2 linked regions of the Arabidopsis thaliana genome follow. The gene in region 1 interacts genetically with each later gene. Each region holds a gene or a part of one and is shown on either strand. Other genes may lie near its edges.

The links.
Region 2: of SAP (region 1) and DA1, a change in one rescues a mutant of the other (synthetic rescue), as found in Arabidopsis thaliana (one study listed by BioGRID).

The regions. Positions count from the first base shown.
Region 1 is NC_003076.8:13,935,459-13,942,574, reverse strand, and holds SAP (Transducin/WD40 repeat-like superfamily protein), read left to right. Parts: upstream 1-1,707; 5' UTR 1,708-1,788; coding exon 1,789-1,995; intron 1,996-4,984; coding exon 4,985-6,118; 3' UTR 6,119-6,489; downstream 6,490-7,116. UniProt on the Arabidopsis thaliana protein: Transcriptional regulator involved in the specification of floral identity. Acts as A class cadastral protein by repressing the C class floral homeotic gene AGAMOUS in the external flower organs in association with APETALA2 and other repressors.
Region 2 is NC_003070.9:6,660,635-6,666,642, reverse strand, and holds DA1 (DA1), read right to left. Parts: upstream 4,227-6,008; 5' UTR 3,619-4,226; intron 3,357-3,618; 5' UTR 3,317-3,356; coding exon 3,131-3,316; intron 3,022-3,130; coding exon 2,928-3,021; intron 2,821-2,927; coding exon 2,592-2,820; intron 2,493-2,591; coding exon 2,372-2,492; intron 2,274-2,371; coding exon 2,190-2,273; intron 2,061-2,189; coding exon 1,941-2,060; intron 1,839-1,940; coding exon 1,626-1,838; intron 1,526-1,625; coding exon 1,347-1,525; intron 1,265-1,346; coding exon 1,206-1,264; intron 1,112-1,205; coding exon 798-1,111; 3' UTR 611-797; downstream 1-610. Other genes in the region: AT1G19290 (Pentatricopeptide repeat (PPR) superfamily protein), read right to left, coding at 1-394. UniProt on the Arabidopsis thaliana protein: Ubiquitin receptor that limits final seed and organ size by restricting the period of cell proliferation. May act maternally to control seed mass. Acts synergistically with DA2 to regulate seed size.

The sequences.
Region 1 (7,116 bases):
ATCCTTTGCTTGTTCTTCAGAAATAACCTTAGCCATCTAATAAACCATAAATCAGCCATAACCATACATTAACTCAGCCACAACATAAAACAAATTTAGCCACAGATGCATTGATAAATCATAACTCAGTCAAACATACAATAACTCATCCACAACATAAAACAAACCTAGCCACATATGCATTGATAAATCATAAATCAGTCATAAAACATACAGTAACCAAGCCACAACACAAAACAAACTCAACCACATATGCATTAATAAATCATAAATCAGTCCTAAAGCATACAATAACTCAGCCATCAAATCGAATAGAAATAACAAATCAGCCACCATATGTAAATCGACGGCAAAAATCAGCCGTAATAAGCGTCGATAAAAACCATCAATATCATAACAGTGGTTTTAGAAAATGGTTTTAATCATGGGAATCACTTGCTATTGAACTTAGATGTCTGATTATTGTCGGAAAAATCGAAATAAAGATTTGACACATATCGAAACAAGTTGAGTTGAGACGAAATGTGACTCGATGACAACGACGTTAAAAGTTTCGGGCGGAAGAGACGAGAGAAAGAGAGAATAGCCACGAGAAATAGGTTTTCTTCGTTTTCGGATAAACACCTAGTAAAAGAGAAGACATTTTTTTTTCCCAAGATGAACAATGTCTGGGAGGAAAACCAAAATGTTCCTCTTAGTGACGTTAATAATGTGGCTTTATTTTTTTTTCTCTCTTAATAACGTGATTCATCATTATTTCGTTAATTATTTTTAATTAAAAAAGAATAAAAATGTTTTAACTAAAAAATACTAATCAAAAATGTTAATTGTAATTATATAAAAGCACTATATATATGAATAATTTTCAGAAAATGTAAATATTTCTATATTTAGATTGAGGAATAAACTTAAAAGCATCGCATGCTCATGTGTTGGTTTGTGATGAGTTTGGACTAAAGTTCACGATGAACCGTGGTTTTGAGGATCGTGATAGCTGCAATATGAGAAAAAGTAGGGTTAAGTTTTGTGATGACAGAATATGGCGAATTCTAGGTTTGAGGATTGTAATGATAAGAATATGCTTAACCAGATTTCCAAAAATTATTTACTTATAATGACAATAGTATGTTGGGAAAAAAAAATATGTTAAACTATGCTTTAAAAGTTTTTACTACTGGTATGAAAGTCGAGATTTGGTGCTACGAGTTTGATCTCTCTGACAAATTTTTTGCGTATACATATTATTTTATTTCTCATTTTTAAAATGGATCGATCTACAAATATTTGTGTTTAGCCAATAGTTTACCATATACAAAAAATTTACTAATGTTCGCGGAAGGAAATAAACTTAGCAAATATATTGTTGAATTCTTAATGATATATAACACTATTTTAAATATAAAAAATCGTCAAAATATAAATCTAGTGATTTATAATAATATAGCTGTTATATTGCCATTATAATTCAAAATCTGCATATCAAAAGAAAGAAATTTTGAAATATGTCACCATACTGAACCAATACTTTTCCTAAAAAATATAAAATTGAAGCTATTTCACAAACAAATCTGCATCTATTAAGAATAAACAAAAACAAATAATAACAAATCTTGACAAAAGAAAATAAAAATAGGAAAAAAACATACCTTCACAACCTGGGTCCCCCACCTCGGAGAAGTATGTCTTTATCTACACTTTTTGTCCTTTGTTTCCTCTCTCCCCCACCATTCTTTCTCCTCTCTCCGCTTCTTCTTCTTCCCCTGTTCCTCTTATAACCCCTCTCGTCTCATGTCTACCTCCTCCTCTTCTTCCGACAACGGAGCCGGTGGAAGCGGCGGCGTTTTCGAGGCCCCATCTCCATCCCGCCCTCGCCGCGGAGCCAACGATGTTTGGCCGGAGCCTTTTCTTGAATCTCTCGCCGTTCAAGTTGCCGTTAACGCTTCCACATCCGCCGGCCTCCTCGCCGCAGCTCCGGCTCTTGCCAACGTTTTTCGGGTCAGTTCTAACGTTCTTTGAATACCTTCTTTTAGTTTTGTAACGGTCGAGACACATCAATTATCTCGTGTCTCTCTATATATATATGTACTTCAGGTAGTAAAGTAATATTTTCGTTACACTATCTGAATTCGTTTATTAGCTTATATTTGAACTTGAAAATAGTGAGACATAGATCTTATGCAGACAAAACAAAGTCAAAGTAGTCGTGGGTCTATAATAACTTAAGTGGAGGGACACAATCTTGGTCTAGTCAAATGTACTGCTTGTTTCAAGTGTCTTGTACTTTAGTTGTTTCTAAGCTTAGATTTGATTCTGCCGTTCTAATTCTTTTTGGTATAACGAATTCTTACTCTTTAGATCATAATTAAGTGATGATGTTACTTCAATTCGATTGAATGTGATATTAGTTTGTAAGGTTGGGATTCTGAAGAGACAAAAAAAAAAAAAAACTGACCTTTGGAAAGGTAACCGCCCTTTCTGTGTTTCTATGATGGGTCCAAGTCCAACTTTTATGTCTAACAAGACGACATTAATTTGATGTCTCTTTCACATATCATATAGTTTGGGGACTTTGTTTTTCTTTTATGTATTTAGAAACTTTTTGTCTTCCATTTTTACCCAATAAGTTTATTTCTTTTTCATTGTTCTCTCGTCTACTTTTGATACCTTTTAATGTCTATTTTTGGATCCTCTAAGGAGACCATACAACCCCATCTCGTTTGTGTAATCTTTGTACAACATTTGGGCATAGTAACTCTAATATTAATATTATATTATGAATTGGATCCCTTAGGGCACAAAATCAAGGTTTTATTTTATTTTATTGGCTTTAAATCTTCCTTTCTTGGCATGTAGAAAGCCCTTTTTTAAGATCAAGAAATCCACTTTTTGACTCAAAAGTTCTTACAATAATAATCAAATTAAACACTTTCTTGTCTCCAAATATTGGTTGATAGACATTAGGCACAGTCTTTAGTCCAATGCCCAATAGATTTAATATTTTTTAGAATTATAATTATAACGGTATTTATCTGCTAATTGTTTTAAAATTATAATAATAGAAAGTGACCTCTCACGACAGACTCATAAAACTAGAAAATGTCGTTGCACATTTAACAACATCTAAAAAGAGAATGAAAAGAAACCTAAGTAAGGTCCTGTCTTTTTGCCTTGCCAATGTTAGTCCTATATTACCACATTAGGTTATTTTCTACATACATGAAAACTCTATTCATCAACAGATATATGATCCATGTATTATATCAGGCATTCATATTATTCTTTTTAATAATCCTATGTTATATATGAAAATAGCTGTTTTTTCTTTTGTTCATAAAAAAACAAATAATACATATATATATTATGCTGAAGATTTTTCTCATATATAGTAACGAGGAATAGTATATAAGTACATATGTACATTTTTTGCGTCCTGCTTTTGTTATTTTTTTCTCTGCCAATATTATGATCCACTGAGTAATGCATGCAGAGCTTCTGACAACTTCTCATTCTCTTATTTTATCTCACTTCTCTATGTATACATGATAATTCTAAATCATTATTAAATCCCATAATATTTTCTAATTAATTGAATTTTCAAATTTGCCCTAAAATTTTAAGAAACTGCAGTGTAGTTACAGCATAACACTTTTGTCAGAGAATTAAGGCTATAAGTCTAGAGTTTTCATTGTTGTTTTTTACTTTGAAATTGATCATGGAATTATCTTTTTTCCTGACTCGATTCATCTTTTCCATTGAAGTGGGTTTTTATCTTTTTTTTTTCTTTCCTTAATTTTTTTCAGTCAAAAGAGACGACATTATGGGCATACATATGCCGAAAAGCACATGGAACCCAATGTTAAGGGTCTCTTAGAGCACGTGCAGTGGTGTCTATAGATTATATACTATGTTCTTACATTTGATATATCACACATTAAAATACAAAAGTGATATTCTGAATCTGGTCATCTTAGAACTCAGGAATATTTGAACTACTTTCTTTCCCTTCTTATTTGAAGTATATCATATTGATGTGATTGGTAATTTGCATAATAATAAATAGGATTTGCCATTCCATCATATGTTATTTGTTGTACTAATCTATTTTATGTTACATTTCGTGCCCTAGTGCCTAGATTATTCTTTTTTTATAATGATTATCTGACTAATAGACATTAAACCTTTGGTTTGACAAGATATCTTTTCTTTTCGTATAGAATTCGAAATATTTGATTTTAGGTTGTACTATAGAGCTAGAGTACGAAGTCAAATACATTACTTTGCGTTTAATGAGGAATAAAGATGTACAATAAATAACAATATAAACGTAAATGTAGAGAATGTAGGTCCACGGATTGTTGGAGAGGGATGAGAGAGACAGAGAAACATCTACTATATATAAGTGTAATATTTGTGTATTTATGGGAAGCTCTACTTTTAACAAGACCAAAGGCTTAAAAGCTATCCTTTCTTGGAAATGAAAGAGAGAAGGGCACGCTTGTTGGCAAAGTCGGAATCTCATGTTCAGCTTAACTCATTTAAAGTCTTCTCATCTGTCCTAATAAATTAACATATCATCTGTTTTGTATTATTGTCACATTGATTTGTTTTTTGTTCTTTTGACATGGGACTAGGGCTTCCTCTCATTATTCCTTTTACACTAGGGCTTCTGTTGTTATATCTCTATCTATAGCTTCCAGAGATTGATTAGTCCCGTCAATTGAACATATGTCATAAAATAGATTTTTATAAAAATGAGTTGTGTGTTTCGATGAGTAAGACAAATATTACGCAGAGCTTGTGTCTGAGTCTGTCGTTGTCTTTCCATCTTCCTAGTCCCTATATATAGAGTCTTTCATGCTTCGTTGCAGGCCTACTTATCTTCTTTCTATGTCTTTTTTTACTCTCTCCCTTATTTATACATTTATTAATTAAGCTACTAATTATAATATTTGTTAAAACTTATAATAATTTTTCTTAATCGCAGGTTTGCACCACGTGGCACGCTGTCTCTCGCTCCGACCATCTATGGCAACTACTATCTCGCCAAGTTTGGGCAAGAACACATTTGATGCACGACACGTGGCGGGACGAGTTCATCTACCGTCATCGGACGGCTAGAAACTTCCGGACGCGTACTCACACCTACTTCACTCTCCAATTTGACCCGTCTGATGTGGACGAGCCTGATAGTCTCTCTTGCCGTTGTCTCACCCTCTCAGACCTCTACTTAGCCGCAGGGTTCGCCGACGGAACCGTCCGGCTTTTTCTTTTAAACAACCGACTCCACGTCAGGACCTTACGGCCACCTCTACGTGACCGCTTTGGTAGATTCTCACGAGCCGTCTCAGGCATTGTTATCTCCGACTCAAGGCTCACGTTCGCTACGATGGACGGAGACATCCACGTGGCGGAAATAGACGGTGTTGGTCACACACGCACGGCTTACGCAGGAGATATAGTTAACGACGGTGCGTTGGTAGATTTCACTGGCTGTGGACGTTGGTGGGTCGGTCTTTTCGCGGGTGTGCCAGGTCGTGCCTTTCACATATGGGACTGTAACAGCGAAGAGACAACATTCGTCGGTGGTACACTCACCGACCCTGAAGCTGTCATGGGATGGCACACGTTAACAGAGCTAACAACGTCCCTTGGCCGTCTCAGAATCTCCGGTAACGAGACGGCGGTAGCATGCACGAGATGGAGAATCATGGTGATCGATCTAAGAAACCAAGGAGTGATCATCGGAGAAGACGAAGAGCAACGTAGAGGACTAATAGTGACAGGCTTCGATGCCAACGACGAAGCGTACGTTAGATTGGACAGTAGAGGAAACGCTAGCGTGCGAAGGGTGAACACGCAACAAACGGTGTGTGAGTTCCGTGTTAGTGGAGCGGCGCAGAGAAGAGTAATGGGTTGTGTTAATAGACTGCACGCGCTAATGTGCGCAGGTGGTATAATGCGCGTGTGGGAGGTAGAGAGAGGAGAGTATCTGTACAGTATTAGGGAGAGAGTAGGAGAAGTTGACGCCATTGTTGCCGATGATAGACATGTGGCGGTTGCGTCAGCTTCATCAACGGCTCAGAGTATTATACATCTATGGGATTTCGGTGCACTGTAGCGTACCAGATTAATAATTTTTTTTTTTTAACTTGAAGAAAAAGAAACTATTTTTCTCTGAAAAAGCGAAACCCTAAACCTAGGTGTATATGTAGGGTTTCTGATTATAAATTAAATTGGGAAAGTGACGGAGGGAAGATGGTGACAGGAGGGTGAGATTTACAAGGGAGATTGATTCTTTCTACAGAGTTTGACCAAAAAAGTAAGTTACTGTTTTTGTCTAAAACCAAACAAAGTGGACTTTTTCTTGTTGTTCTTGTTTTTTTCCTTGTGTTTAGGGCTCTCTCAATTCTGACTTTGTACGAGATGTCTTTTTTTTTTCTTCTACTTGTAATTCTTCACTTTACTGGAGTTTATTATTTTGTATAATGGGTTTTAAATACATTTTGTGTAAAAAATATATTTTACAGGAGGTGTAGACAGAAACAAGATCAAAATCGAAAGAATGGTATAGAAATATGAATCATGAGATCTAGATGTGATTTGAGCATATCCCAATTTTAGGATATATTGGAGTGAATTGATAAGTAAAATGTTCAACAAGTTATTCATAAACAATAACATAAGAAAAGAGCATAATTGGACACACCCAATATACAAACAAAACGGCTAATCTCATTGAACAAACAAGATGATAAAGAGTGAAAATCAAAATTTTCCAAGTTTGAAATAGCGTTAGAAGCAAGTTCGAGAAGACCAAACACACGCCAATTCAAGAAAAAGTTGCACTCTACATAAAATTTGAGATGGTAACCATATATTGTGACTTTAAATCATAGTTCAAAACTTGGATTCTCACAAGAATGAGTCACGTTGTACCTACCGGTCCCTAAAAAACCATCACATAAGAACACAAACAGTTAGGATCTAAAACATGTTATTTAGAAACGAATTCGTAAGGACAGTTCTCAAAGAGAGGGAAATATCAATTTGATATTTATGTATATGAAATTACAAGATGTTTGATATAATGCCACGTTTATTTTGTCTTTTAAACAG
Region 2 (6,008 bases), on another chromosome or scaffold:
CAACCAGTTCACATAAATACGATTTTGTCTGTTGGTAATTTCTAGCCCTGGACAAGATGTGAACCATTTTACAGTAAGCCTTGTAATCAGGCCGGAACTTTTGTTGCTTTGAAGCCAAATTGAAAATCTCCAGACATGCCTCTGGGTTAAGCCTCAATCTACGCAGGATGGAGTTGAGAAGTTCATCTGAGAAATCGAGTGATAGATCATGTAAAGCTTCGTACCTGCCAAGTACGAGCAAACGTGAGACCCGCTCGAGTAATTCGGGTCGAATTCGCCCGTTTCCTCCTCGAAGCTCGCGGCGTAAGGTTCTCGAGGCTTCGGAGAAGCTACGAGTATAGAGAAACGGAAGCAACTGATAGGCAACAACGCGTGCCGGAGACCGTCGGAGCATCAGGAGAATTTTGTTGTCGGATGATTAACGCTGGAACCCATTAAACTTGGGACCTCAAAGTTCCGTACTTTGGAATGTGTCTAAGGTTTTAGTCGACGATTGACGACGACTACGTCGGCGACGAAGAGTGAGAGTGTGTAAAGAAGAAACCTTTAAATTGGAATTTGGTTCGGTTGGTTTGGTTTGGCTCGGTTTGGTTCGATTGAATTTGGAGAGCAATAACAAAGAAAACACTGAATCTGATTCTGATGGATTTTAACAGAGGAATACAAAGAATCATCGAATGAGACTACACATAAGAATATGGTCGAGAGTACATTTTCCACCAAAAGAATTAGAGCATATAATAATAATCTACCAAGGATCCTATAAATAAAGTAGAAGACCTTGTCCATTTGGGTTCTTAAACCGGGAATCTACCGGTCATCTGTATATGCTCAAGTGTTTTTCGCAAACCGTACTTGTGAACAGCTAACCTCCCAGCTCTGAACCCGTCTCCATAAACCGGAGAAGCATCAGACTCGATTTGGTGCTTGAAAAACTCACCAAGCTTTCTCTCGTACTGAGATCTCGGTCCCTTTTTCAGTCCTTGAGAAGAGGAGGATGATGATGCAGCATTGCTATTTGTTGAACCAGCAGCTAACTCAGCATCTAACCATTTATGAGCCATCACTTGACATATACCTTCTTCAACATCTTGGCTCAGTGTTCGGAATCCTTTTTAAGACCAAAACGAAACAAGGTTTCAACAATGTGATCAACAGAAAGAAGCAGTAATATAAGACGTTAAGAGGAGTAGTAAGAAATTCACCTTTGAGCCTCATCCACGCATGCATCATCTCATGAGCTAGAATCGAACCAGTAAGTAACCTGAACAAAATTCAGCAAAACCATCAATGCTTGAACTGTGACATAAGATCAATTCAATGGAAGCAAAAAGAGTCTTTTTTACCTAGGGAGCCCGAATAAGATGAGAATGGCGGTAACTTCACATTGCCGTGTTAACTTGTAAGGTTCTGTAATATTCCCGGCCCATTTTCCTGTGCCATGCTTTGATCGCTTTCTTACAGTACTAACAGTTTGTTCTTCTGAAAGGCAGAGTCCTCTTGTTTCTGGCATGTGATAGTGACCCTAAGAAGCAAAATGAAAAGGTTTAATACTTTAGAAACAGAATGTGATAATAATTTCAAGTATTAGCTTAGTACTGGATAATTGTCTTTTCTTTACTTACATTCTTTTCACCTTCTCTGGCTTCGTTAAGTGCTTGTCTCTCAACCAAGAGGAGTGGAACTTCCTGCTCTACCTTCATGTTGAGTCCTTCATAGAAATTTTGTATTTGCAAGTACAGAGGTTGGCATTGCATGGTGTCCATGACCGCCGAGTCCAAACACTCAAGGCAAAGTTTCCGTCCATCGTTAAGTTCAACATATCTCGTATTCCGTGGCTACAAAGTATAGCTAAGTTGTCAATTACCGGCTAAAAAATGTTTTCACTTTTGAGTAGATGATGTATGTTTGGGGACATATTAGAGGAGAAGAAAACCCACCTCCATTCTTTCACAACTGCAACATCTCGGGGTAGCATCGTGTTCGTGAGAAGGACAATACTTCTGAACCCAAAAAGGATGTGCCCTATATTCAATAAGACCAGCATGATTTGTTGGTATCTGTTCAAAGAATTTACATTCGGGAGAAAAACAAAGCAACAGACGATAAGTGTAAGATCCGGAACAAAACAACAACACATGAATATATTTATGGGCTAAAATGATAGAAAAGGAAAGAGGTTTACGTACAAAGTGGCTGCAGACATCACATTTAGGATGATATCTCTCCCTGTAACAAGCCTTGTGAAAAGGGTAGTTCCCTGATGTTGAAAACTATAGGAAAAAAGGGAAACACATTACAAAAGAAAATCTAAAGGTTAAGTAGAACCAGAAAGCAAATGAAGAGGATATGGAAGAGAGCTTGGTTTCACCTCGTACTCAGAAATCGGCTGACTGCAGCCATAACATCGAAAACATTCTGGATGCCATAGTGAATTAAGGCAATTCAGAAATCTTCCATGGCCAATCTCCATATTACAGCCAGCACAAATCCTATGCAGACAAGTTGTTGACAAGTTATTTGGCTGCTGGACACTAAACTAACACATCGACCAAATTAAGCCAGCTAAATATGATTGGCTATCTAAATACCTGAAATCCATTTGAAAAGTAATAGGTCTTGGATAATAAATATCTCCATTTGCATATACATTTCCTCCTCCATACATATGTCCATTCCCATATAAATCTCCAGCTCCATATGCATTCCCATTATCATATGTACTTCCACTTTTGTGACGGGGTGAATTCCCAACTACCATACTTTCTTGTAGGGCTCTAGCAAGTTGCTCATCTTCATCCACCGGCATCGAGTATTTCCCTGTGTCCATTACTTTTTTTAAAGGAATTGTAGCAAACCGAATCCGATAACAAAACCATGTCTTCATATATCTGTTTTGGCTAAAACAATCCTGAAAATGAACTCACCGCTTATACTTGTCTGTTCTTGATTCTCTTCTAAAAGCGACAATGCAATTGCACGGTCTATGTCTTCATTTTCCTGGTCATTCGATGTATTATCCTAGTAAAGAAAAACCACAAAAGTTGAAATAACAGTACAGACCAGAGCTATGATAAACCGTCAACTATATATGTGGTTCTTTTCACTACTTCATGATCCCCAAACTCACCTCAGATGTAGATGGTTCCTGAGTATGATGAGGTTCATCATTATCAGCATCTGTATCCGCCGCACTAGGCTCATCATCATGTGAAGCAGTCGGATAATTATCGTAATAAACATTGTGATTGTGCTTATTATTCCCAACCCGGAGCCTTTGGTTAGAGCCTTTAAAGATCTTGTTAAACCAACCCATAATGCCTAAATAAAACTATCTGCTCATACGGCAATGCAGCCTGCAAAATCGTCGAATCATCTCTGATTAGCAAAAACCCAAAACAAACTTGTTTCACTTCCAAACATCAAAAGCCACAGAACAATAGCACTTTGAATCTAACAACAATAACTAAACAACCCTAAAACCTGTCACCATTAAGCAAACGAGTTCCAAACGGATTTGTTTTTTGTTTTTTTTTTCAAAAAACCATGAAATTAGAATCCAGACATGGAATTATCAAGTAATTGCAGCTGCAAAGAAGCTAAAGATCGTCCCTTTACCTTGAGAAAATCCTGAATCAGATAAGATCCCAATAAGCTTCACGAAACCCCCACAAAATCCAGAATCACAAAAATGATCTAATCAAGCAAGGGAAGCAGCAAAAGAATCTCAAAAAGGACTCTTTAGTTCTCTCCTTTCTTCAAAATTTGGGGAAGAATCTATAACATGGGGGAAAAAAAAAAAAAAGAGAAAAGAAAAGAAAAAAGGAAATTAAACTTTTTTTATATAAAAGAATGCAACTTTGACAAAATCAATGTCTACTCATACACGAATAAACCCAGAATGTGCTTGAATTCTACGCTAATCCAAAGTCAAAAAATTTGGTGCACTCACAAAAAAAGAATAAAAATCGTATTTTTATTTAATGAGGATCACGAAGAAGAGATCGAGAGTATCGAATATTTTGGAACGAAAAAAACAAAAGAGGAGAAATGAATTAAAAAGTCTTCGTGTCCGAAGTTTTTTGGTCGTTGAGCTTGTTGAGCTCTTCTTCTTCTTCTTCCAGGAAAAAACGTTCCCCACGCTGTGATTTAGAGATAGAAAGAGAATTATAATTATACTATTACGCAATTTAAAAGTCAAATAATTATTTTGTTTTGGCAATTTCTTCCATTTTGCAACGTTTATGCAAATATCTAGATATTTAATATTTAATTATTGCTTCAAGCCTTAAACCAAATCTTCTACAAGTCGTAACGCATTTATCCGGATTGTCGGGTTCTAATTCTAATAAGATTTTATATATTTTTGCTAGAAAACATTAAATATATTTTTTTTATAATTTTCCACTAAATTGTAAAATTATTTATAAATATATATTTTCTTTATTACTAAATGATTTATTTCTAAAAGATTAATCTTTTAAATTTTTCATGCAATATTTATTGGATAATATTAGTGAATTGTAATTTTCTAAAAAAATAGTTAATTATCATTGATTTAGAATAATAGAAAATTGTAAAACACAAAAAATAATAAATTTATAATCAATATTTAATATATATATTTTTTTAATATGTGTGTTTTTCTAAACATCAAACAAAAACGCATAAATACAAGAAAAAATGTATAAATACTAATTAACTGTTTAAACCGTTGTTGTTTCAATTAATTGTCAAGTTATCGAATTTTAGTTGATAGATTTTTTAACCAATACGATAATTAGAATTTGATTTGAACCAAAATCTAGGCTCCCATAACTCACTCACATTTTATTGATATGAAAATAATATTATTTAACTTTTGGCTTTTCAGCGTGATTTGTAATTTTACCAATTGCCAAATAATTCAGCAGAAAGCTAAGAAATGAGAAGAAAAAAAATTGAAAAAGAGAAGTACATATAATGAATTAATGATGTTATTACTTATTCCATATCGAAAAGGTGACAACAAAGGAAAAAAAGTTGAAGAAAAGATTAGGAAAAAGTTGGTGAGGCGTGGTTTTGTTAAAATATTACAAGCAAACACAATTTATTAATTTTATATCATAACTTTAAATTAGAAAGTAAAGTATAGAGGTGAAAAAAGATATGGAAAGGAAATTTGTTGATTTATGCAAAAAGTAAAAGTTCAATCATGTTTACCTTATTGACATATTATAATTTAGCATACACGTACGATATACATTACATGAATTCATAAATTATAAACTACATGTATGAGTGTCAATGTCACAATGTGATATCGTTCATCATCACTTTACAATATTATTAAACGAATAATTTGGTAATTAAGTATGTGAATTTCTTCTTTATACACTCGCGGAAGTTACGGTGACCACGGAAAGTGATAGCTTTTATGGGCTTTCACAGGCCCGTTATTATTTTGAATGTAAAAAAATCGTATCTCGTTTATAGGCTTTATAAGCTCATATATGTAACAAATTTTTACTTCATTATGTTTCTAACCAGTAACCACGACCTTTATATAAACCCGCATACATTACTTAACCACTAGCCGTCTATTGGATCCGACGATTTAGCTATTACTACTATTACATTCTTGAGATAGCTGAGTTTGGGTTTGTCATGAACAAGTTGTTCTTTATGTATGATACAACTTGTATATTACTTCATACCTCATTTTGGTTTGTAATACTGAAATCATTTGAGCCTCGTTCTTTTTTTTACGAAAGCTCTACCAAACCATTCAACTAGTTAGCTTATATTAATTTTCATGTCTTCTGCTTATTTTTAACGTTCAATGAAGTTGCAAATTACCTTATCTCACAAGTTCACACAACACTCATTTTATTTTTTACATACTCCAAGAGAAAGTTAATGGGCCTCGATTTTTTCTATAGGCCCATTATTATTTGAACCATTATGCTCCTATCGATATAAAAGTGTACTTTTGGTAATATTTTTGCTTAATCGTTTGATCATTTTGG